Drosophila melanogaster: one gene and its partners. The protein of the gene in region 2 interacts with the protein of the main gene of each other region in a biochemical or structural test. Each region holds a gene or a part of one and is shown on either strand. Other genes may lie near its edges.

Region 1 (5,298 bases), 2.5 Mb from region 2:
TCGTTTATGAACTGGGTCATTTATCAACTGACATCACCTGTCAACGGGGGGTTTCCTTATCGAGCAGTATATGTATGTATTTCAGTCTCCGTGACGTCACGCCGCCCATGGAGATCGCTCGAAATTTATGCAGATAACTGAATTGGCGAGCGAATTTTCATGGCGCCAGCCATTTCGAGCCAACGGGTGCAATGCACTGCACTATTGTAGTACTCGCAGGACACAAACAAATAAACACGCACACTTATGCACTCCAATAGAGCCATAAAAGAAAACGTGGCCAAGTTGCCACGCTAGTTGTTGCTGCAGCCAAAAACTATAAACGAGGCAATGACTTGGTGACTTTTTGCGGCTGCCTGCCAAATGGAACGTCTTATGGGTTTTTTTTTTTTTACCGACCAGCCTGCTGACTAATGACCATTCTACAGTCGCGGCTAGCCGCCTTTCGTTTGATTCATGGTCCTAGAGCCCATAATTGCACTTATTCATTCATAGTTGCAGCACCGGCCAGCGAACACAAGTCATTGACTGGGTCGAAAAGGATATCTGTGGGCTTTCCCGGAAAAGGCGAGCTGGAACAATGCCACTTTGTCGTTTGGCTTGTTCAACTTTTTCAATTGCGCGCACAATTTCCATGCAATTAACGGCGAACAAATGCAAGCGACAAAACCTGTCAACGGGAGGGTGTAATATAGGGTATAACGTAGCTAAAAGTTGGCCCAACAAGGCGCATTGAATATGTTCAATGGACGTGGCCAAGGGGGTGAAAGTGGGAGAAGGGCGAGCGACGACAGCGAAGCATAAAAAGCAATTTCATGCACCCATTGACCCCCACAAAATGTTGGTTACATGGGAGGGTGGGGGAGGAGAAAATGAGTGGGGGATACAGTGTCAATAGATAGTTGTTTCAGCGATGTCCAACCAGCCAACAGAACGCCCACACATCCACGCCCACTTGTATCCAAACAACAAAGCCCCTTACCAATTGTGGGCTCACTGCCATTACTCATACGCCCCGTGTGCATTGTCAAACATTTATGACGTCCATTTTGGCGAGTGTATTAGTGCTCTAGTGTGTGTGTGTGTGTGTGTGTGTGGGTGCTTGTGTGTCGTCATTACCATCATTTGTCTGTAGGGCAAAATACCCATCCACAACCCATTCCATCTCATCCGATACGATCCCATTCCTGCAATTCGTTTTGTTGTTGCCTAGTGACGTTCGCCATTTGCCAAGTGAATCGAGTGAAAAGGAAAATCGATTCCAACTGACTGCCTGTTGCTGTCTGCTACTAGTTTACCTTTTAATTAAATTTAACGCCCATCGAAGGACCACCCACTACCGAACACCCAACACCCACCGCCCACCACCCACCACCCACCACCCACATTTACTATTCATTATTGCCCAGTAAACAGAGCAGTAACAGCCACAAAAGAGAAGTAAACTGCACACAACAGAGAGAACACAGGGACTAAGTTTGCTTTATATGCTGTGGCAATTTCTCGGCCATTGTTCGTCATTGTCTGGGGCAACTGTTGATGTTGTTGCTTCGTTGATTCGTTGACTTTGCAGTACATAAGACTAGTCATTCGGTACAACTCGAAATACCCTTTTTTTTTTTTGTTTTAGTTTAACTTACATGCATTTCTCTATCAGGTTGCTGTGTAAACGGCGTTGTCTATTCGTTCGTTGTTTGTTGTTTATGGCTTTCCTTAGTTGAGTTAATTAATTTGGTTTTATTTGCTGTTGTTGTTTTGTTTTTAATAATAAAAGCGTTCTTGTTCTTTAGGTATTTTGTTGGCTATTTACAAGGCTTTGGTTGAATTTCATATACTTAAAAAACTTGAAAACTGTTCGGTAGAAAGACATTAATTATGGATTTTAATCACTTATGTGTATTCCTTATTTTTGTTAAACACTTCAGCGGCGCTCGACATTTGTTGTTTCTCTAGCGAGCTTCGCTTGTCGTCTAAGTGTAAAGTTGAAGTTGAGTTGTAATTATGTTGCATGCTGCCACTATTGTTGTAACACTCACACACACAGACGCGCACATTGGGGAAATAAAAGAGCGAGAGCGCGCGAGTGAGCGACTGAGAGAGCACACTGCAGCTGGCAGGAAATACTGGGACGTTTTTGTGGCAATACTGGGTTTCACCACACACTGAACGGAGGCCAAAGGCCAACGCGGGTTAGCCAAGTTAATCATACGCACTGTTGTACATAAAAAAATATTTACTCCGATTTGAATTAAAATTTCGAGGCATTTTAAATTGAATGGAGAAAGTTTAGTTACTAGAATAGTTTTTGTCATAATTGTTTTGGCTAACATTCTTTAGTTTTGATTGTGTGTGGTGAACTTTCTCTCTCGTTAACTGTCGCTCTCCCCTGACTTTTCATCCACATTAATAGTAATTTTTTTCCATATGAAATTGTTTTAAATTTATGACCTATCAAAGCAATTGACAGTGTCAATGAAATCTTCTATATTTCAAATTATAATTACAAAACTCAAGGATGAAGGACAGTCGTTAACTGCGGTAGACCTCCTTGAGTGTGTGTTAGTTTATTTTTCTGCATATTTAATGCGTTCATCCGCACCGAATCCTGGCCAAAAGGATCACGGCCAACACAACAAAGGAGCACAGAGGCGAGAAGTCGAGGAGAGAAGAGAGCGGAGAGAGGCGAGTTTTTGGGTGGGATTGCGTGGCGTTGTGTGTACAGAAAAAAAGCAACCAGCTCACGAACGGCGGAAAAAAGTTGGAAAAAAAAGTGAACGAATCAAATTTTGTCGTGGAGACCAATGAAAAATGCAGAATTTTCTTACATTTTTTATACACTTTCTTGTAGGTTGTTGGAGCTGTTTTGCGTTTGTGGTCATTAGCTTAAATCACAATTGGTTTGCACTTAGATTTTATGTAGATTTGTGTGTGTATAACATATACGTATATATCTATATATATATGCTTGTATGTGTGGCTATATATATATATGTATATAACTATGTGTGCAGCATTCCATATGCGCAAATGAATTTTCCGTTTAGCGAGCTCATTTCGTTTTTTTTGTTGCTGCAATTTTCGCTTGTTTAATTGTTGTTCGCTGGCGCTTAAAGCCTGATGTTGCTGCTTTCTGCTGGTGTGTGATTTTGTTGCTGTTGCTGTACTGCCTGCTGCACCAACAACAACTAGATGGAGTGCGGCGACAACAACAACGACAACGACGACGGATGCGACGACGGCAACGACATCACGACGGCACGACAACGACTGAAAACTGGACCCGCAGCTGGAGCTGGAAAAGCTATAGAGCCCACGATATGGCCCACCTACATCAGGAATTCGCTTCGATTGTCGTCAGCAGTTCAGGAATTTCTCTCTCGCTATCCCCGTATCACTCGGATTCTCTCATGAAAAGGGACTCTCTCTCTCTCTCTCTCTCACACACACTGCCTGTCGTTCGCGTGGTGAATTGACCAGGGAGTTGTTAACCAGGCAAGTGGGAGCACATGTTTCTCTCAGTGTTATGAGTGGCTTTTCATATTTCATGTGCAATTTTAACACCTACTACAAACTAACTGCCGAGTGTGTGACTCCAACTTTCACCACACACCCCCAAATACCCGCCCCCTTTGGGCATTACATGCTCATATGGTTGTTTTGCGCAAACATTAAGCAACAACATCGTGTTGCATATTCATAAAATTCAACTCCTCATCCAATGGGGGGCGTGTGTGTTTATGGAAATATGTTCACTGTTCACTTCCTCCCCTTGCTTGCTGTTGCCAAAAAAAAAAAGAAAAGAAAAACAGTTTTTCATTGCATTTGGGGATGTTCTTGCAGCAGCAGCGCCAATTTGGAACGAATCGCTCTTTATTGCATACTTCGAGGGGCAGGGAAATGATCCCTTCTCAGCGAATATTATTGAAAAGATTTGGCAGCTCAATCGAGCTTAAAATTGCAATAAACTTGAATAGGTTAACAAGCTGCGAAATACAGAAATATATTATAGTTTTTATGCTAGAAATCATTATATATACTTATACTTAGTTGTAATTTCATTTATATTTATTTCTTCTAAAACTTTAGCAATTTCCTTTAAAATGATTTCGCTTGCTTAGATCTGCTTTAAATCCATTTGAGCCAAATCTATTTTTGGATGCCCAACTTTTGACCTTAACACATCACGTGCTTGTCAAAAATATCCAACACTCAAAGCCCACAAAAATTTGTACACTTCTGTTGCATATTTCTCAATTGGCTTGAGTTGTCGTCGCTGTTATCGCTTTTATCTGTCAGCTTATCGCAGCCATCATGAGATTTGGCGTAAATTGTCACAGCCACTCCAGGCCAGCCTTCCTTCACCAGTGCATTTCCTTTACTTTGGATGCCTTTGGCAGAGTTACAGAGAAATAAATAAGTAATATTACTAATATGCATACGAATCAATGCATAGTTATTAAATATATCGAACAAATATCTGCAGTATCTTATTTGTAGTTTAACTATCAAAGTCCCATATAACAATAGTTTTAGTTTGGGAATTGATCTAGGTACAAATTAAAAATATTTTTATTATAATACTAAAAACCATTTAATTAATAGAATATTACTTTAGTTTGTCTTAATTCAACTACAAATTTGTTCTCAGCGTATGACAGCTGAAAACAGAAAGATAAACGCGTTTCTGGCTGTCGAAACTCTTATTCCATTGCTGATAGCCTGCTCACGTGCAGTGTCTTCGGCTCGCAACACTCGCACACCCGCAACACTCGCACAGTCGCCGGCACACACACACACTGGCACACGAAGGGGAGCGATTGGATTTCCGGCGGAGATGAGAGCAAGCTACGTGGGCGGGGGGAGTGGCAGGTGGAGTCTGGGAGTGCCAGGAGCTGTATTTGGCCGCCAGCATTTTCCGATGTTGCCGCTTACTTTGTAAGTGTGCGTGTGTGTGCGTTTGTGTGTGTGTCTGGGCGGCTGACGTCATTGAGCTTTTTATTGATTTTCATTTTAACCAAAAAAAAAAAAGAAAAAACAAGAAGAAAACATACTTGGGCTAGGACGCAGGGCAGGAAGGCCAACAGATGTCATCCAAGAAAAGTCGAAATGCGCAATTAAAGAGAGAGAGAGAGAGACTGCAAAGGGGGCTTTCTCGAAGGAAGTTTTTGACAAGAATTTCTTGGGGCCAGCGAATGCTGTGTTGTAAGGTAATTACAAGGAAGAGATGCTTTACAATTTCTAAGAGTTAACTTTAGTTGATTTCAAGCTGCACGTGAATAAAAGCACTTCAAATACAAG
Region 2 (5,365 bases):
ACAATCCGGGCTTCTGCTATGACCTCGTAGCCACAATTGTGCGGCGGGCCGATCTGAATGTTAACCTAAACGAGGCCGTGCTCCGATTGCAGGGCAAAATTACGGAAGCGGACCGTAAGTAGCCACGCCAGCAGCTGAGTTTCGTAGCTAACGAAGTTTCCCCCTTCCACAGTCAATGAATACCGCTTGACGCGCACGGAGGAGCCCTTCCAGGAGCTCAATCGTAAGTCCGTGGCTCTCAAGGTGATCCTCAGCCGCATACCCGATGAGATAAACGACAGGAAGACCTTCCTGGAGACCATCAAGTAAGTAAAAACTCAAAATGAAGCTAAAACTCACTGCATAAGCTTAACTGATTAATGAATAATGAAATTTTACTGCGTTTTACAGGGAAATCGCCAGCGCCATAAAGAAACTACTCGATGTGGTCAACGAGATCGGCTCGTTTATACCTGGCGTAACGGGCAAGCAGGCTGTGGAGCAGCGTAAGAAGGAGTTCGTCAAATATTCCAAGAAGTTCAGCACAACGCTGAAGGAGTACTTCAAAGAAGGACAGTAAGTATTAAGAATCACCTGCAGTGATTATTTACTATATGTGTTATCAAACGATACGCTGCGACGCCATGACAGCCGGTTTCTTTAAATCGGCTCATATCTGGTTTCTTATCGTTTCGGGCCAACCGTTGAGATGATGTCATTCCATTGGCATTCCGGGTATTGTTTGGTTTATCATTTTGCGCCGGAGATTCTGAGGGGCGGATATTAAGCCGGACCCCCGCCCATTTTAAATTGTAAATTGCTTCGATTACGTACTAATGGCTATTACCGCTGACCTTTTCATGAAATTGGGGCCAAATTGCATTACTAATTCAAATTGCTTCAGCAAGGATTTTCTAACCGATTCTCTTTTATTTTATCTATTTTCAGACCGAATGCAGTATTCATAAGTGCACTTTTTCTAATACGGCAAACGAATCAAATAATGCTGACAGTTAAGAGTAAATGCGAGTAGAGAATTAAATCCTTTAATTATGGCAAATTAATTAATTAGTGGCATTTTAATTTTATGTTTAAATAACCATTTAACATACCAAGACCGAAACAAATCAAATAAACTCAACACACTTAAATACAAAATCGCCCGACGCAGTCCAAGTTAAATGTTTGAACGTAAATGAAAATCTGTTGTAACTAAATAAATAGGCCTAATTTATATCGTATATACATATGTATTACACATACTCGGACACAAAATTTTGCGAAGCCTAAGCATTGTAATTAACTAGTGAGCAACTATTTATGGAGACGGACGATGTGTGCGAGAGTTTATTTTTCGTTTACAATTTATTGTAAATAATTCATTCTTTTTCTGTTAACAAACAACATCGGCTAGTTTGTTTTTGTTTAGGAGAAGCGCCTACGAATAAATTTAAAATTAGTGGAAAAAAAACGAGAAACAGGAAATGTATGTACTACGGGGAGATGACAAACAAAAACATTAACGGAACACTTAAATTTTTAACTGTTTTTAATTGTTAGAGTTTGAAATTTAAACACTATACATAATAATCTTTTACTTAATGATATGTTCTATTTGAAAACTGCGAAAGCGAAAGACATTAGTGGCCGACAGCACTATCAACAGGATGGAGAAAAAATTATTTTAATTAATAAAATGTTATATGAAAATCGAACACTAAGCAAAAGTAAAAGAACGGCAACAAACTCATAATGTAGACATAGCGAAAAGAAAACGACAAATAAATGTATTTATATTCCAAAATTGAAAAGAGTGTTTCATATTTAACCAATTTACGTAAAATTACTTTATAATTTATAGTATTAGGTGTGGTATGATGTGGAAATAATTGTTTTATATTACCCGAGAATTGATTTCGAAAATCAGAGATTGGTAAACTGAAATCAAAATCTCAGATTTACACGCACATGTCGTTAACAGAGGACAGCGCTGTTAACGGATAACAGCCAAAAGTAATAGTAAACCCCCAATAACAGGCCCTGAGCAGAAATTTACCCAGTTGCAACCCCAAAGGAGTCCTTCTGAGAGCGGGAGAGAATTGCCCGTTTTTCAGTGTCATTTGGCAGAAAAATCGATTCCCCGCACACTGAATAGTGGGCACTGGGTACTGAGTGCTCGGCTCTGGGTTCTCTGGGCCACTCTGCTCTGGCACACTGAGCACCGAGCTGGCAGTTGGGTAGAAATCAGAGTGCGCCAGCAGCGCGACCGAGATGACCCACTTTTCGGTATTCGCACTGAGACCCAACTGCTACTACCCACAGAAAGTGGACAACTAGGCGGAGTTTTTTTCTATATAGTAGCAGTGAAACGATCGCGTTTTTCGGATATATTATGTACAGCCTACGTAGCCTAGTGTAAACTATATGCATTTATGTGAATTTCCCAGCGCAAACGTGGAAGAGGAAAACAGGCGACCTGAAAAAGCAGCAGCAGCAGCAAGCAAGAAGCAGAAGCACAAGCAGCAAAAAAGGTTCGCAACCCGTTCAAAAGCCCCCGAATACAAAATATTACAAAAAGTTAACCCAAAAAGAAAGGATAAAATCCTGTGCTTCCGAAAACGAAAACCGCAGTTTAAGCAAAAAGTGTCAAAATCGCGTGGTAAATACTTATTTTGCGCAAGCTGAAAAAAAGAGCTGTTATGCGAGCGAGCGAGCTCACGAAAAATTTCGCTGTACACCAAATGTTTGCCCAACAGCACCGCTGCTGCGTGAAAATTTCATTTTCTCGCCAATAACGTGAAAAAGCTCGCCGCGAGTGCAGTTAAAAAATCCAGTGAAAGATATAATGATTCCGGGAAAATGGTGGGACAGTGAAAAGTAAAAGTGTAAGCATATCGATAAAGGCAAAAAAAAAAAAAAAATACGAAAAAGAGCAGCCAGCGTAAAACTACACTCTCCCACACACACTCACATGCATACATATATCCAAACATATACATATACATACTCGCCCACATGCTGATGCATATACAATATGCAAATGCGGGTAATCACTGTAAAACCGAGGCAGGCGAAATGGTGAATGAAACCGAAATTATAGAAAAATGCCTAAATAAAATCGGAGAAATTGGCTAAAAGCAGAGTTCAGCTACATTTTGGCACAAAAAAGCGCGCACCCACACACACTCACGCATACACCCGCCACACACATACAGAGAAAGCGAAAAGAGCGAGAGGCATGTAAGTAAAGTAGATGTAAATGGCCAACGAAACTGGAGCAGCACCAATACCACTGCAAGTGCCACAACGGCAGGAGCAGCATGTGTGTGTGAGCGTTTCATATTCATAAGCTTCCAGCAGCACCAGCAGCAGCAGCAGCAGAAAAGTCCCACTTTTTGGGTTCGCACTCTGGGGGCGGTTTTCACTTCACACTTGTCCCACAGCCTGCGCAACAACAATGTTAAAGTTGTTTGCTGCTGCGTGCGTAACACACATACTACATACAGTGTACACCCACCACACACGTTCGTGTGTATGTACGTATGCATGTACATATGCATACATATATATGTACACTAAAGGTATCTACAGCGTGCATGCGGTTACCGTTACCTTCTCTGGAGCGGTGTTTTAATACCCGTAACAGCACTTTCCACCGATTGAATGCTTTCACGTATTTCGTATATATTTATAGCCCACTGTACTCAGTTTCCACTGCAATGATCGAAAGTCACGCGTCGATGGCCTGGTACACGTTGCGGATACTTAATACAACATTATCACAACCTAGACGGGCTTATTATGAAAAGAAAGTCTTCATAGCTTCCTTCTATAAATATGTAGTTTTTTCTGTAGATGAATTAAAACATAATTGGCCAAATTTAAATTAACATGTTGCATATGTATTTAATACATGAAGAACTCAAATGTGCAACTATTCAATTGAATTTTCCTTTAAGCCAACAGAAAGATCCCCCGTGTTGAAAAATATAAAGAACGGCTTGAAAAGAAAAGCCATTATGATTTTATTGGATTTTTCCGAGCAGGATTAATCGTTGAGTTTGGCCAATTTTGACAGATGGCAATCATTCAATAATTTATATGCTGGGCTGCCAGCCAAACTGCGACCATGAGATGTCCACAGGCGGGGATCCCCCTGCTTCTCTCCGAACCACTTCCCATTTCCCGGTTTGGCGGTTTGGTTTTCCACCCCATAACTGTGCTATGGTTTTTTTCTATAGTATTTCAGCGCCAGAAGCGACGAAATTCGTGGGTCTGTGTGTGTGCCTGTGTGTGAGCAGCTTGTTATAAATAGGCAAGATAGTTTTTGTGCTCGTGTTCTGGTTCGCTTTTTTCCTTGGCTCTGCGATTGAGGTCATGCCAGCAGCAGGATAATGAACTTTTCCCAACATCTTAAATGTAATTGTAATTGTAATTGCTCGACTTTAAAAAGTTTCTGCTCGCAGTGTTATTTTTAGGACTTGCCACTCGTCATATTCTCGAGCACATTGTCGACTATTTATGCATGTAATTGTTGGCAATGGCTGTTGGCCCCTGCCTTCGTCGGCTATAATTGCTGCAATTAGAAGCACTTGATTGTTATGGCCCAAGTGTGTGAGCATTCAATTAATTGAACGACAGCTCATTAGGGCATCGAAGAGCAGACAATGGTGCTTTAAAACTTTCACCGACCTTTGCTGGAGAATATGTAAATATTAGCTTGGTATGGCCAACTTTTTGCATTTTTCGTGAGTTTGCCAAGGCAACCGATTCCGGATGCTAATTAATTGCCTTTCTTTGCAAACTTGTCTGTCAACACACAAGGTGGAAATTGCCATTTTGCAGTTGCAACTTTTGTTCTCCCGCTTTTTTTTCTTGGTTTTCTGGGCACTTCATTTCAAAGTAAATCAAAGTTGCTGCGCGCCAAAAACCAAAAACGCAACAAAGTTTTTAAATTAGTTTGTCGAAGTTTGGGGCCAACAAAGTTGGCAGGAATATTTCGTTTCATTTCTTTGTGGCGTTTTTTTCCAACCACGAATAGTCAACGAATATTGTTTTAATTACGACTTTTTGTATATTTCACTAGACAGTCGCCTTGCAGTTGTAAATGATATTACGCATACGGCACGTTGTGCGGAAATAAAGATACTGTGCTGGCAGAGGTTACCTTCCCAATTCCCTGCTTTCTCCCTGTTAGATAACGTGCCTCAGTTCCGAGTGAATGGGAATTTTCCATTTAATTTACTCCGATGGCCGCAACGACTTTGGCCAGAATGTGGGTTAATAGAGTGTAAAGCATAGCCAGGCCGCAACCCAGTTTTGGGTGGCTTGGTTGGTTCCATCGGACCTCCGAAGAGGCTGCCTGGTGCGCAGTCTGAGGCTCCGG
Region 3 (5,633 bases), on a different chromosome or scaffold from region 2:
CAGGTTGGCTTTTCGGCTGGTCTGTTTTACAAGCGTTTTTAAATTGAAATTGTCGTTTAATCTCTAATTGGCCACATTTGCGATAGAGTTAAGAGGCCGGGCACGTCGACAAGTGCATCAAGCGAGTGCCGCGCGATTTTCCCAACCCCGAAACCAGTTCCCACACCGAAACCCAGCCAAAGTCGCTGCCAAGGCTACTTCGGGTATCCATTTCCATTAAAAGCGACACGAACTAGTTAGTCTTAGTCGCTGCTCCTGTTAGAGCACTTTGCCCAAAGGCAGATCCGACCAGGCCCACCGCCACAACCCGTTCACTGAACCACCTCCGAAGAAAGTGGCCCAAAGCTGCTGGCCGGCTTCGCGAAAATTGCATAATGATTGATGCCCCCAGGCTAACTGATGTATCGCCATTTTAATGGCTCGGCCATTTATTCTCCACTCCCTGGGCGTTTTCATTAATGTGCGATTGTTTCTTTTTCCGGCGTAGATCCGCATTGGTAAATGTGCGGTGAAATAAAACTAATGTGGAATCCGAATGGGAACTTCTGGGCCATCATTCCATTCCATGGCCCGCTCAAAACAAGTCATCACAAGTTAATCTTAAAACTAAACTGCAATTGGCCATTGCCTTCATATAGCCGATTAGTATTATCTTGTCTTGTCGTGTAATTTTATGCAAATCACCAATTCATTTCCCGCGAGAGATAAACTCACATGTTTTATGTGTAAAATAATTTACTTTACAAATTATAAGTTATCTTTTAGGCTGCTAAATATTATCTACCATCATTTCGGGATTCTATCAACTTGCTATAAATTGAGCTTAAGTGCATACTTTTGGGTAAGTTCTACAATATAAGATGAAAGGGCTTACATTCTCTTACTAATAAAACTCACCTTTCTTCCTTGAGCACCCAATAATCCAATATAGTTTGATTTATAGGTTCTTTATATATTTCTTTTGTATACATATACAGTATATATTCGCCTGCGTGTACACAACTTTAAAGGTTTACACATCTTATACTGGGCTTTAATTGAGAATACTTCAAAACGTAGCAGCTGGTGTTCGATATTGTTGAGTCTCTGGTAACTGAAAGATTGGCATAACTAAACTAAGGTTACACGAAGATCGCTAAATTACTTTGGCCTCACTCTATTTTGTGCATTGCCAGGTTAAGGATGTGGTTACAGGAGGGTCTGGATATCTATAACCAATCCAAATTGCTTATCTCCGATTTACAATAGACCCAACTGACCCAACTGACTCCCGATACAAAATTCAAGGTGTTCAAGGTGTTCTTTTGCTTCTGTCCATATATCCAGTGAACTCGAGTTTAAAGGCGGTTCCTATAGAGGGGGCAACTATTGCTGATTGCTTGAAGCTCAGTGTGAGTGTGAGTGTGAAGTGGGGATTTTGAACGAAAGTTAACTAACTATTTACATGTCTAAGATCTTGCACATTTGTTCAAAACGGATAAATGATAATAATCTATAGCTAGGGTTTCTATTGCGAGCTTATTGATTTTGCTTTGAGATTCTCTTTGAAGAAGAGCAAATATTCTTGAGACTTATCTTTGCTTTTATTCGTAATAACCGCACAAAAAATATATCGTATTGATTAATGCACAAACCGCCTTGCAAGCCTACTCAATGTAGATGTCCTCGATGGGATAAGCGGTTTCAATGAATTTCTGATAGAATCGCTGGAAAGCACGGCTGAAAGAAGGAGTGTTAACATGTTATTCGAGCGTTTGTTTTGGGGGGATGACTGCTTGAGGACTCACCCCACTGCCTCGGCCACCGGTCTGGTCGACTCCGAGCCCTTGAAGACGTGGCAGGCGAACCGCTGAACCGTGGGATGTTTGGTGATGAAGCCAATGAAGCGGTGATCGCGAGGGTGAAATGCGCAGAAGGAGACGTTCTTCAGGGAGTAGAAGTAGTCGATGCAAGGTTTCTTGTCCTTTTTGTTTTGCTGTTTCACGAAATCGGTTTTTATATCGGTTATTAATGAAGATGTATATATGTATGTATCCTACTCACATTCGGGCCCGATCGATCCACCATGCGAAGTCCCTGGTCGGAAACCTCCAGGATGCACGTCTGTCCGGTCGGTGAGTTGCCGTACTCCCCGACAATCTTGCGCACCGCCTGGCAAACGACTCCGGTGCCCTTGTGCGCCAGCGTCTCCACGGATCCGAGGTAGCCCAGCAGATAGCGCTCCTTCTTCACCAGCTGCACTGTGGGATCGAACTCGTTGTAGTCCAGGTCCACGGCGTAGGCCGAGGGGAAGATGCCCTGCCTTCCGGTGCGGAGATTCACACCCTCGCACCACAGGTCCTCGGCCTCCTTTTGCACGTAGATGGCGTCGCCGATCTCCAGCTCGATCTCGTCGTGGTGCCGCGGCACAAACTTGTGCAGACCACGGTGAGTGGCCTCCAGCATCTCCAGCTGGCCAAAGGGCACGCCCCCAAAGGGAGGCGGAAAGGGGGACTGCGAAACGGGAGACGTGATCTGCGGCGACATGCTCTTAAAGTCGTTGGGCGAATGCGCCGTGCTGTGACCACTGTCCACGTCGCCCAGACTCTGCATCCTTTCCGAATCCGGACTGGAGTCCTCGTCCATCAAGTAGCCGCATTTGAGGGACAGAAATGAGCGCTGTTGTCCACTGCGAACTGCTGGAGGGATTCCTCCACCACCACCGTTGCGGAACTCATCCGCCAGGGAGCCAAAGTTGGAGCCACCTAGAAGATGCAGAATGGAAGCTGCAACGAGGCCATGAGTGGGTTAGCCCGAAACTACGAAGGGATGTTAAGAAGGACTATCCGGCTCCCAAAATAGGATATGACGAATAGATGTGTTGTGGAAAACCAAATACTAGTTTTGAAAACCGGCATAGCCCCTGAAACTACTTGCATGCAGGATACTCTAGCCAGGAACTAAGTTTTCAATAAACTTACATTTCTTGTTTTTCGGTATTTCCGGCAACTTGCGACGACGTCGCGTGGCAGCTGTATTGGGTGCCAGCAGATCTGTGCTGGCTCCAATGGTCACAGGTGCACTATTGCCACCCAATCCACTGGTGTCCATGCCCAGGAAGCCACCAATCGCATCCTGGTGGTTCAACGGATGATGTCGGTGCGAATTAAACGAGTCGTTGGTGTCCAGCGAGCCGTCCGAGGACAGAGTGACTTTCAGCCCGTCGCCCAGCTCATCGTCCTCCACTTGACGCATCTTGGGCTCGTGATCCACAAGACCAATGCCATCCTCCTGATCCGAACCGTCGCCATCGCTCTTCGAGGAGTGCGAGTCCTCCAGGTCATCGTTGGGAATTAAGCTGTGAAAAGGGCTTTACTGATGAAACTGAACTCATGCCATCGCACAGAAATCACAGCGAGTTTGGAATAATTCATAAGAATGTCCAAAGGCATGCACACAATTCGTTGCATACTTTTAAACAGTTCCATCAGTGACTTTTGTGATTTCTGTTGCGAACAGTTCCCTTCAAGGATACCCAACCAGTTTCAAGGGGTGCTCTTCAGGACACGTGCACACGTCTTGGCTACAGCAAGCTTCGCCAGATTGCTTCTTACCACAGCCTTTCACCTTTCAACTTACGAGTAAAATGCATGTGGATTATTCTTCTTGCTGCCTGCTCCTGATCCGAATCCAGCAATCGTATGTGGCTCAAATATGGGCCTGTGGAACTCCTCGAATTCGCTGTCGGCCATGTCGTTTGGGGACCAGGGTCCGACCAGCTGCCACGCCCTCCACTACAGGCTAGCTGGGGCTTTTAGTTAGTCCGTGTGAACTGCTTTTGGTTAGATTTTCACTGGAGTCCTGCTCGCGCTACAGTTTTTTGCCAACGGAGTCACTTTTTTCACTTCACATGCGAAAATCGATAATTTCCTTGACGTTGCTGGCGTGCCCCCGTCTGAATTCCAGATGTGAGTGGTGCCAAATCAGAAATAGTGGAGGCCCAAGCCAGGGAAATTCGGGACTTTCAGCTGTCATCCGCAAGCTCTCTCTTTATTTCTCTCTCTCTCTCTCGCTGGTAAGCCAAACTTGTTTTTGTTTACCGCTGGCAGGGCAAAGGTTGGGGGGTCAGCGGCATTCACTCTGTCCTGGGGGTTGACAGGAAGCGCGCCTGCGCAGTGAGTCACTTCCGCTCCCCGTTTCCAATGGTGGTGACTTGCGAATTGCAATGCTGTTGCGCTTTGGCACGAACAGCCAGGGGCGGATCTAGAAAATGGGGATTTCCCCCGGCTGGGGATTTCTTATCGGGCATATATTTTTATAGTAAATGTGTACGAACGAATCAGTCTTCATTTCACAAAATGCAATTTCGAAAATTATTTAATTAATTTTAAAAGTACAAAAACTATCTATCAATTAATTTAGAAAATTATAAAATTATGAATAAGGTTGGTCATTATCTATCTAAAACAGCAATTATATTATATTATATTATAATATATTATATTATAATATATTATATTATAATATATTATATTATATTATATTATTTTATATTATAAGATACGATAGGAGATGTAATCGCCACCCCAACTGATAAATGTAAATGGGGAAATGGAAATCGTCAGTCTGCCATAACTTACCTACAAGATATGCATTTTTCTGTTGCCTAGTCAAATCAGACAATCTAAAGGTACCTATAATTTTCCTAAGAAATTTTCTTACCACTAACTCAGGTGATCCGGTCCAATGTTCAAAGTTCTCACACAACGGTTGCCACACGAGCTGCAACGACATGCTCAAAGACGACATCATCCAGTCTGTGAGGTGTGCCCAGAAAGCCCAGATTTAGTTGAATACCCTCAATAATAAGAACCGCTGGTTTCTTCTTTGTATAGAATATAGTTCTTATCTTTAATCAGATTTTTTTTATTTCCCCGGGTATAAAAGAATGAACAGTCTTTAGCCACGCAGTACTTCATCGACATCCAACCAATTCGCCATGAGAGCCCTCCTAGGAATCTGTGTCCTGGCACTAGTCACTCCAGCTGTCCTGGGTCGCACCATGGATCGCTGCTCACTGGCGCGCGAGATGGCCAATATGGGTGTTTCTCGTGACCAGTTGTCCAAGTGGGCGTGCATTGCAGAGCACGAGAGCTCCTACCGCACCGGAGTGGTGGGGCCTCCCAACACCGATGGATCCAACGACTATGGCATTTTCCAGATCAACGACATGTACTGGTGCCAGCCGTCCAGTGGAAAGTTCTCCCACAATGGCTGCGATGTGAGTTGCAACGCTCTCTTGACCGATGACATCAAAAGTTCCGTAAGATGTGCCCTAAAGGTCCTGGGTCAACAGGGCTGGTCAGCCTGGTCCACCTGGCACTACTGCAGTGGATACCTGCCCCCGATCGATGATTGCTTTGTTTAATTCAAGTCTCTTAACCATGGACATTTCAAAATGTAATTGTTTTGCAATCTAATAAACACTTTTTATACGTTTATACTTTTTGATACGTTGATTCACGATATATACATAAATAAAAGTAAATATCTGGTACGACATTTGTAATTAAACAAAGAAATGTGCGGACAAATAAATCAAAGATAAGCGACAGCGAACAAAATTAGTCATTGCAATTTTTCAACGAATTCAT
Region 4 (5,310 bases), on a different chromosome or scaffold from region 2:
TCATCTTTTGGTCTCAATTTAAAATCAAATAAACTTATAAATAAGTATATAACGTAACGCACTCATAATGTTCTCTGCTTTACTATAGCTTAAATAACTTAAATCGTTTCAAAAATATTATTGGGTATTAATTTTAAATAAGAACAAAATGAATAAATTCAATATTTTCGTGGCTAATAATTGGCTTTAGTATTTTGATTCTGATGACCTCAAATCATCGTGTTTACTTTGTAGACTTTGTATTTGAATGTCATGAATAGCAGGTTGTAATTAAGGCGCCCGCATAAACAATGCGACCTGGTGATAAGACGAAATGTTGAACCTTCGGCTGCTGTGAATGATGTGAATGGGCCAAGAGTGCAGATATCAACGGCAGCGGTGCGACAGCTGCAGCGGCTCAAATGAATGCTAAATGAATCAGCAGGCCGGAAGCCCATTCACACAGCCAAAAGCCGTGGAAAGGAAGCCTCAGCTTGATTCTGTGGATGTGGATGCTCTATGTGTGCGGCAGGGAGAATGGGGACATAAAAAGATGGAGGAAGCGCAGCAGATGAGGTCAGGATATGGCAGACAGGCCATAAAATATCAGGCCCAGATTCGATTACATCGCCATGCCATTAGGGAGCCCCAGGCAGTGCACTTTGCTGGGCAAACATATCCAGATATATACTGCCATACTGCCAGATGTATGTAGATGCGGAGAGCGGGAGACGGATTGCACTTCTAGCTGCATACTTGGGGGACCTGGAGCTGAAGCTGAAACTGGAAGCCACTACGATTGTTGTCCGTCCGGAGGCCATCTTATCAGGCTATCTGCTCCGGGGGCCTCCACCCCAAAACAAACATGTTGAATAGCTTCCGAAAAAACGAGAGGCGTCCCCGGAGAAAGCCGGAGAGAGAACTCACCACACTGGGAGGCTAGTGCGCAAATGCGTGCCATCTCACCAGCGCACTTCCCTTTCTCCTCTCGCCTTTCTCCGTTCCTCTGGCTGCTTTCTCCATTCGCTCCCGCTCACAACAATAGCGTCATCGTAAAATATTTGCCGTATTTTGTTGTTACCACTGCCCCAATATATGGATTGGCGGCGTTTTCTTCGCCCGCACACACACTGACTCTCACAACAGACACACACAGACACTGACTCAGACCACATGTAAAATAAGGTTGAAATTTGAAATCAATAAAAGTTATTCGGCTGATCTAAAATTAGAGCAAGCAACTCAAATAACAGCCGAAAGAAGTAAATAATAAAGGCAAACACCGCATCATTGACACGCAAAGGAGGTGATTGGGCCGGCCCCCAAAAAAGCTGAACAAAAAACTGACAAATCATGCGAGCAAATCGAATGCGTCGAGCCTGCCCCACAAGGCACCATCCACATATCTAATTATAAGTTTTCAAATTGCTTGCCAATCTCCGGATGATTGATTGATTGAACGGGGCGTATGGGTAATGCATGGAGAACAGACTAAAATTACTCGCTAAACTAAGTTACTCGACTACGTTCTAGGACTGCAACTAGGTCTAGATAATCGGGGATCGTATTTTATATTCAGCTGGACATATTCATCGGTAAAATCACAAGAAAGAAATCACAACAGATACGTACAGGAGATAAAGAAGTTACACAGAGAGAACAAAGGCAGGCACAAAAACAGATTACTTATAACTGATTACGATTAAATTATGGCGGCTCCTGTTACACAAGGCATACGCACAAATCAGAAATCAATATCGCTTATGGTTCACATCACAAATTGAAGTTTTTGCCGTGTTTCTTTGGTTGTGTGTGCGTTTATGTGTGTGTATCTCAGTGTCAGTGTGGGTGTCGTTACGTATACGTAATACGGTTAAATAGCTCACCCGCTTTGCTTAGGCGATGAATTTTGAATGATTTTCCTTAACGAACTGCGGGCGAATGAAAAACTGGCTAAGCTAGCTGCTGCTCCTGCTACTGCACCTCCTCGTTCGTTTAATCCTCTTGCTCCTGCTCCTGCTCCTGCTGCTGCTCCTCGACTTCCGCTTCCGGTTTTCAGAGCCCGCACACACTGACGCACTCGCGCTGCAACTACATGTGTGTGTGGGCGATTTGTTGCTCGTCTTTATGGCCGTTGCCAATGCAATGGTGCTGGTGACTGCGATTGTGATTGTGTTTGTGGTTGTTGTCAGGCGGCTCAATGGGCATTTCCGGTTCCGGTCGGCTAGCTGCTTGCACTAATTTAGTTGATGACACTGGCTTAGTTAGTTTGTTGACTTTCGTGGCGTGCGCTCGCTGGCTAATTGCATTTTGTGTTTATGATTTAAACGGCTTTTGTTTTATGTACATGGCTGTGTGGGAGGATAATTAAACCGCGTGAGTTTCCAGCTAAACTAATTAAAGTCTTCATTCACTGAGTGGGTTTTTTTGTGTTTCATTTATTTTTCCAAGTGGTTTGGTGGCTTCGTGCCCAACGAGGATATTTTTTACACTCGTTCCCGCTGACACACATTCGAGCCCAACACACACACACACACACACACACAGGCACAGCAAACACAGCGATACGGAGAGATAGGGAGTTGAAGAGTGCTCCGCAAAATGGAGTGGAGAGTGTTCTACGCACGAGTTACGCTCACGAACAACGTAAGGTTCGACGTAACGAAAGGGGATTGTGGGGGGAGTGGCGTGTGGCGAGGGGCGAGGGGCGGTGGAGCTGAGCGGGTGGTTTGGGTGGCTCAACATTATGCTGGCACCCCACCTTCCGTCACTTCATTCGCTCGGCTCTAGGCTCTGTTATACAGCTTATAGCTTTTCAAACTTAATGTCTCTTTGTAGGCGTATGCGTATGTGTGTGTGTGTGTGTGTGAGTGCGGTTTTGTGGGTGTGCGAATGCGAGTGTGTGTGTATAACTCGCATGGCTTATATGTAGGTTGAAGCAATTTATAATAATTTTTTTTTGCTTTCGCCCCAATCGATAGGCAGCGTTTAGTGGGACAGATGACTCCTTTTGATTGACAGTGTGTGTTTGTACGTTGGTCTTTCACACTGATATACTATACACAAATGCACATTTGTATATATATATACGTATAAAGGGTGTGTGTGAAATGGTTCCTTGAGTTTGTCACACGATTTTGAGCGCTATAGGCGGCTTTTTGGCCAGCTCGATTTGCTTTTAACTCGCTTTTTTCGCACTTTTTGCAGGAAATCACTTTTCTGTATCCAGGGAGCAGCCTCTAGCGCTAGTGCTGCCATTCACGCACACTCACTCACTCGCACACATACACACACACTAACGGGGACTTTATGCATTTGATCGAAGCACTTTTCGCCAGTCAATGGAATTTTCTCGCGCTATTCTTTCACTTTTCTCCGCTGCGAATGCAATTAAGTTGGACTTTTCTTGGCCTTATACATTTCTCGGCCAGATACATATACTGCGCGTGTGTGTATGTGTGTGTGCATGCGGGAGTGTATTGGTATTCGTGTCTATGTGTGTTCCTAACCCAAAAATGTATTGTGCGGCAGCTGAGGTGGCCCGTTTTCGGCAACGCCGTTGTCCAACTAACTACCCTCAAAGAACTGAGCACGGCTCGTGCAAGCCAGTTGCTAATATAGTCGCCGATTCGCTGGCAAGTGGTGAGTTTTCCAACTTTTCCTTACCGACCACCCTCTGCTTTCCTCCTGGCCTAGGCATAGGGAGAGCTAGCCGGAGAGCGCGCGATTGCAATCAATGAATTTTCCTTTCGGCGCTCGCGCAGTTCAGTGAGTGCTGGCATCTCGAGCTGCCAGCTTAATGGATTCCGGAATTCCAATACCAAAATATGGAGCCAGCGCATTGCGTTACGCTAAACGAATGTGGGTCTTACGTATTGCTCCACATTCAGCGTTGGCAATGCTGCGCGCCAACTATTCAAACCGCCCTCAAAATTAGACTATGAACTCGTTGGTTTTAGGAACAGTTTTCTATAAGAACAGATTATAGATTCTTAAAGATTTGGATTTCATTATTTTGGAAACTATTTTTAAGGAATAAGAAATCTGAAACAGCAGACTGAATGTATCAGCTCACCTAGATTAGCTTTTTTGCAGAAGGTTCTTTTCTAAGAAAACTTAAATACTTATTTGAATTATACGAACTTAATAATAAGACAGTATTCGTTGGGGATGTTAACTTGTTACGTTTATTCTGGAATGTGTCTGTATGGTGGCGCGGTGCGTATCTGCGGTTGTAATACATTTCTCATAATACTTAATCAACGCATTTCCTATGACATAGCCCTAGTTCTAGCGATATGCTCCCGCTACCCGTCTATTTACAGGTGAACTCCTCGTAGCTCTCGTCGCACTCGTCACACTTGACCTCGCAGCACCAGCGGAATTGGCAGCGGCACTGCGTGGTCCTTCGAATGTGCTGCGTGTTGTGGCCACGCCCACAGCAGAGCAGATCGCAGCTCTGGGGGCCGTGGCCGGTCCGCTGGCAGGTCCGACCTGAGGTGCCCTGGCTGCCCGTCTGCAGACTTCGCTCGCAGTAGTTGGGCGACGCCTCCAGGTAGATCAGCTCCATGCGCTTCGGCCAATCGAGGACCGGTTTCTGGGCACGAGCGGTGCCGGCATGCTTCTTTCTGCAAGAAATTAAAAGTGGAAAGAGGTATGTGTTAATATGTGGGATCGAAAATGTGTTGATATTATACCGTGCTACAGAAGGCACAGCAAACATATTGCATTTAAAAAGGACTTAATGACTACTATGTGTTTTATTCTTTTTAGAAGAATACTTATTTAGCCATTAGATTATTGCCTACATATCATGCAACATCTTGCAAGATTCCCATTTCTCACCTGCTTAATACTAATCTCAGTCCACGTTTGCCTTTGACGGCTTGAACAGTTTTGGCTTTTTGATACTTCAGCATGAGTCTATCGCCAACCAGTCGAAAGGGCGGCAGGCTCTTCCAGCAGGTCTTCATCACGCAGGAGCCACTGACGCCATGGCACTTGCAGTCCGTGCGCAGCATCTTCTTGACCAGCTGATAAGAGAAAAACATAACTATTAACTAGGCCATATTTATTATTAAATTTTATGCATGCGCACCGTTCTCCCTGCTCGGTTATTGTGCAGGTTCATCAGCGTGCGGGAGTCGCGCTCCAATTCGCGGGCATCCATGAATCTGCGCGCATACCGCATCCCAAAGTCCACGTCCGCCGAGCAGCCGCCCCACTTCCAGGGCTCGTCGGGCGTACCGCCGCCAGTGGGCGTGGCTTTGTGCCGCACATCACAGCCGCAGGTGGAGATGTTGCCGCGGGCACAGGCGGCGGTCACCGCGT

The links.
Region 1: the proteins of Rbp (region 2) and Rim form a complex in vitro, tested with the Drosophila melanogaster proteins (one study listed by BioGRID).
Region 3: the proteins of Rbp (region 2) and Aplip1 are reported together in a solved structure, tested with the Drosophila melanogaster proteins (one study listed by BioGRID).
Region 4: the proteins of Rbp (region 2) and brp form a complex in vitro, tested with the Drosophila melanogaster proteins (one study listed by BioGRID).

The regions. Positions count from the first base shown.
Region 1 is NT_033777.3:17,913,314-17,918,611, forward strand, and holds the start of Rim (Rab3 interacting molecule), read right to left. Parts: upstream 3,266-5,298; 5' UTR 2,826-3,265; intron 1,852-2,825; 5' UTR 1,641-1,851; intron 1-1,640.
Region 2 is NT_033777.3:15,372,459-15,377,823, forward strand, and holds the start of Rbp (RIM-binding protein), read left to right. Parts: upstream 1-2,176; 5' UTR 2,177-2,403; coding exon 2,404-2,510; exon of another isoform or gene 2,511-3,219; intron 3,220-5,365. Other genes in the region: Ccm3 (cerebral cavernous malformation 3), read left to right, coding at 1-114, 173-305, 391-555, 928-1,012.
Region 3 is NT_037436.4:1,194,641-1,200,273, reverse strand, and holds Aplip1 (APPL-interacting protein 1), read right to left. Parts: upstream 3,958-5,633; 5' UTR 3,732-3,957; coding exon 3,619-3,731; intron 3,338-3,618; coding exon 2,961-3,337; intron 2,766-2,960; coding exon 2,044-2,765; intron 1,976-2,043; coding exon 1,788-1,975; intron 1,720-1,787; coding exon 1,647-1,719; 3' UTR 935-1,646; downstream 1-934. Other genes in the region: LysX (lysozyme X), read left to right, coding at 4,979-5,407. UniProt on the Drosophila melanogaster protein: The JNK-interacting protein (JIP) group of scaffold proteins selectively mediates JNK signaling by aggregating specific components of the MAPK cascade to form a functional JNK signaling module.
Region 4 is NT_033778.4:9,502,024-9,507,333, reverse strand, and holds the start of brp (bruchpilot), read right to left. Parts: upstream 3,570-5,310; 5' UTR 3,489-3,569; intron 2,331-3,488; 5' UTR 1,866-2,330; intron 1-1,865. Other genes in the region: Wnt2 (Wnt oncogene analog 2), read right to left, coding at 4,295-4,607, 4,825-5,012, 5,078-5,310.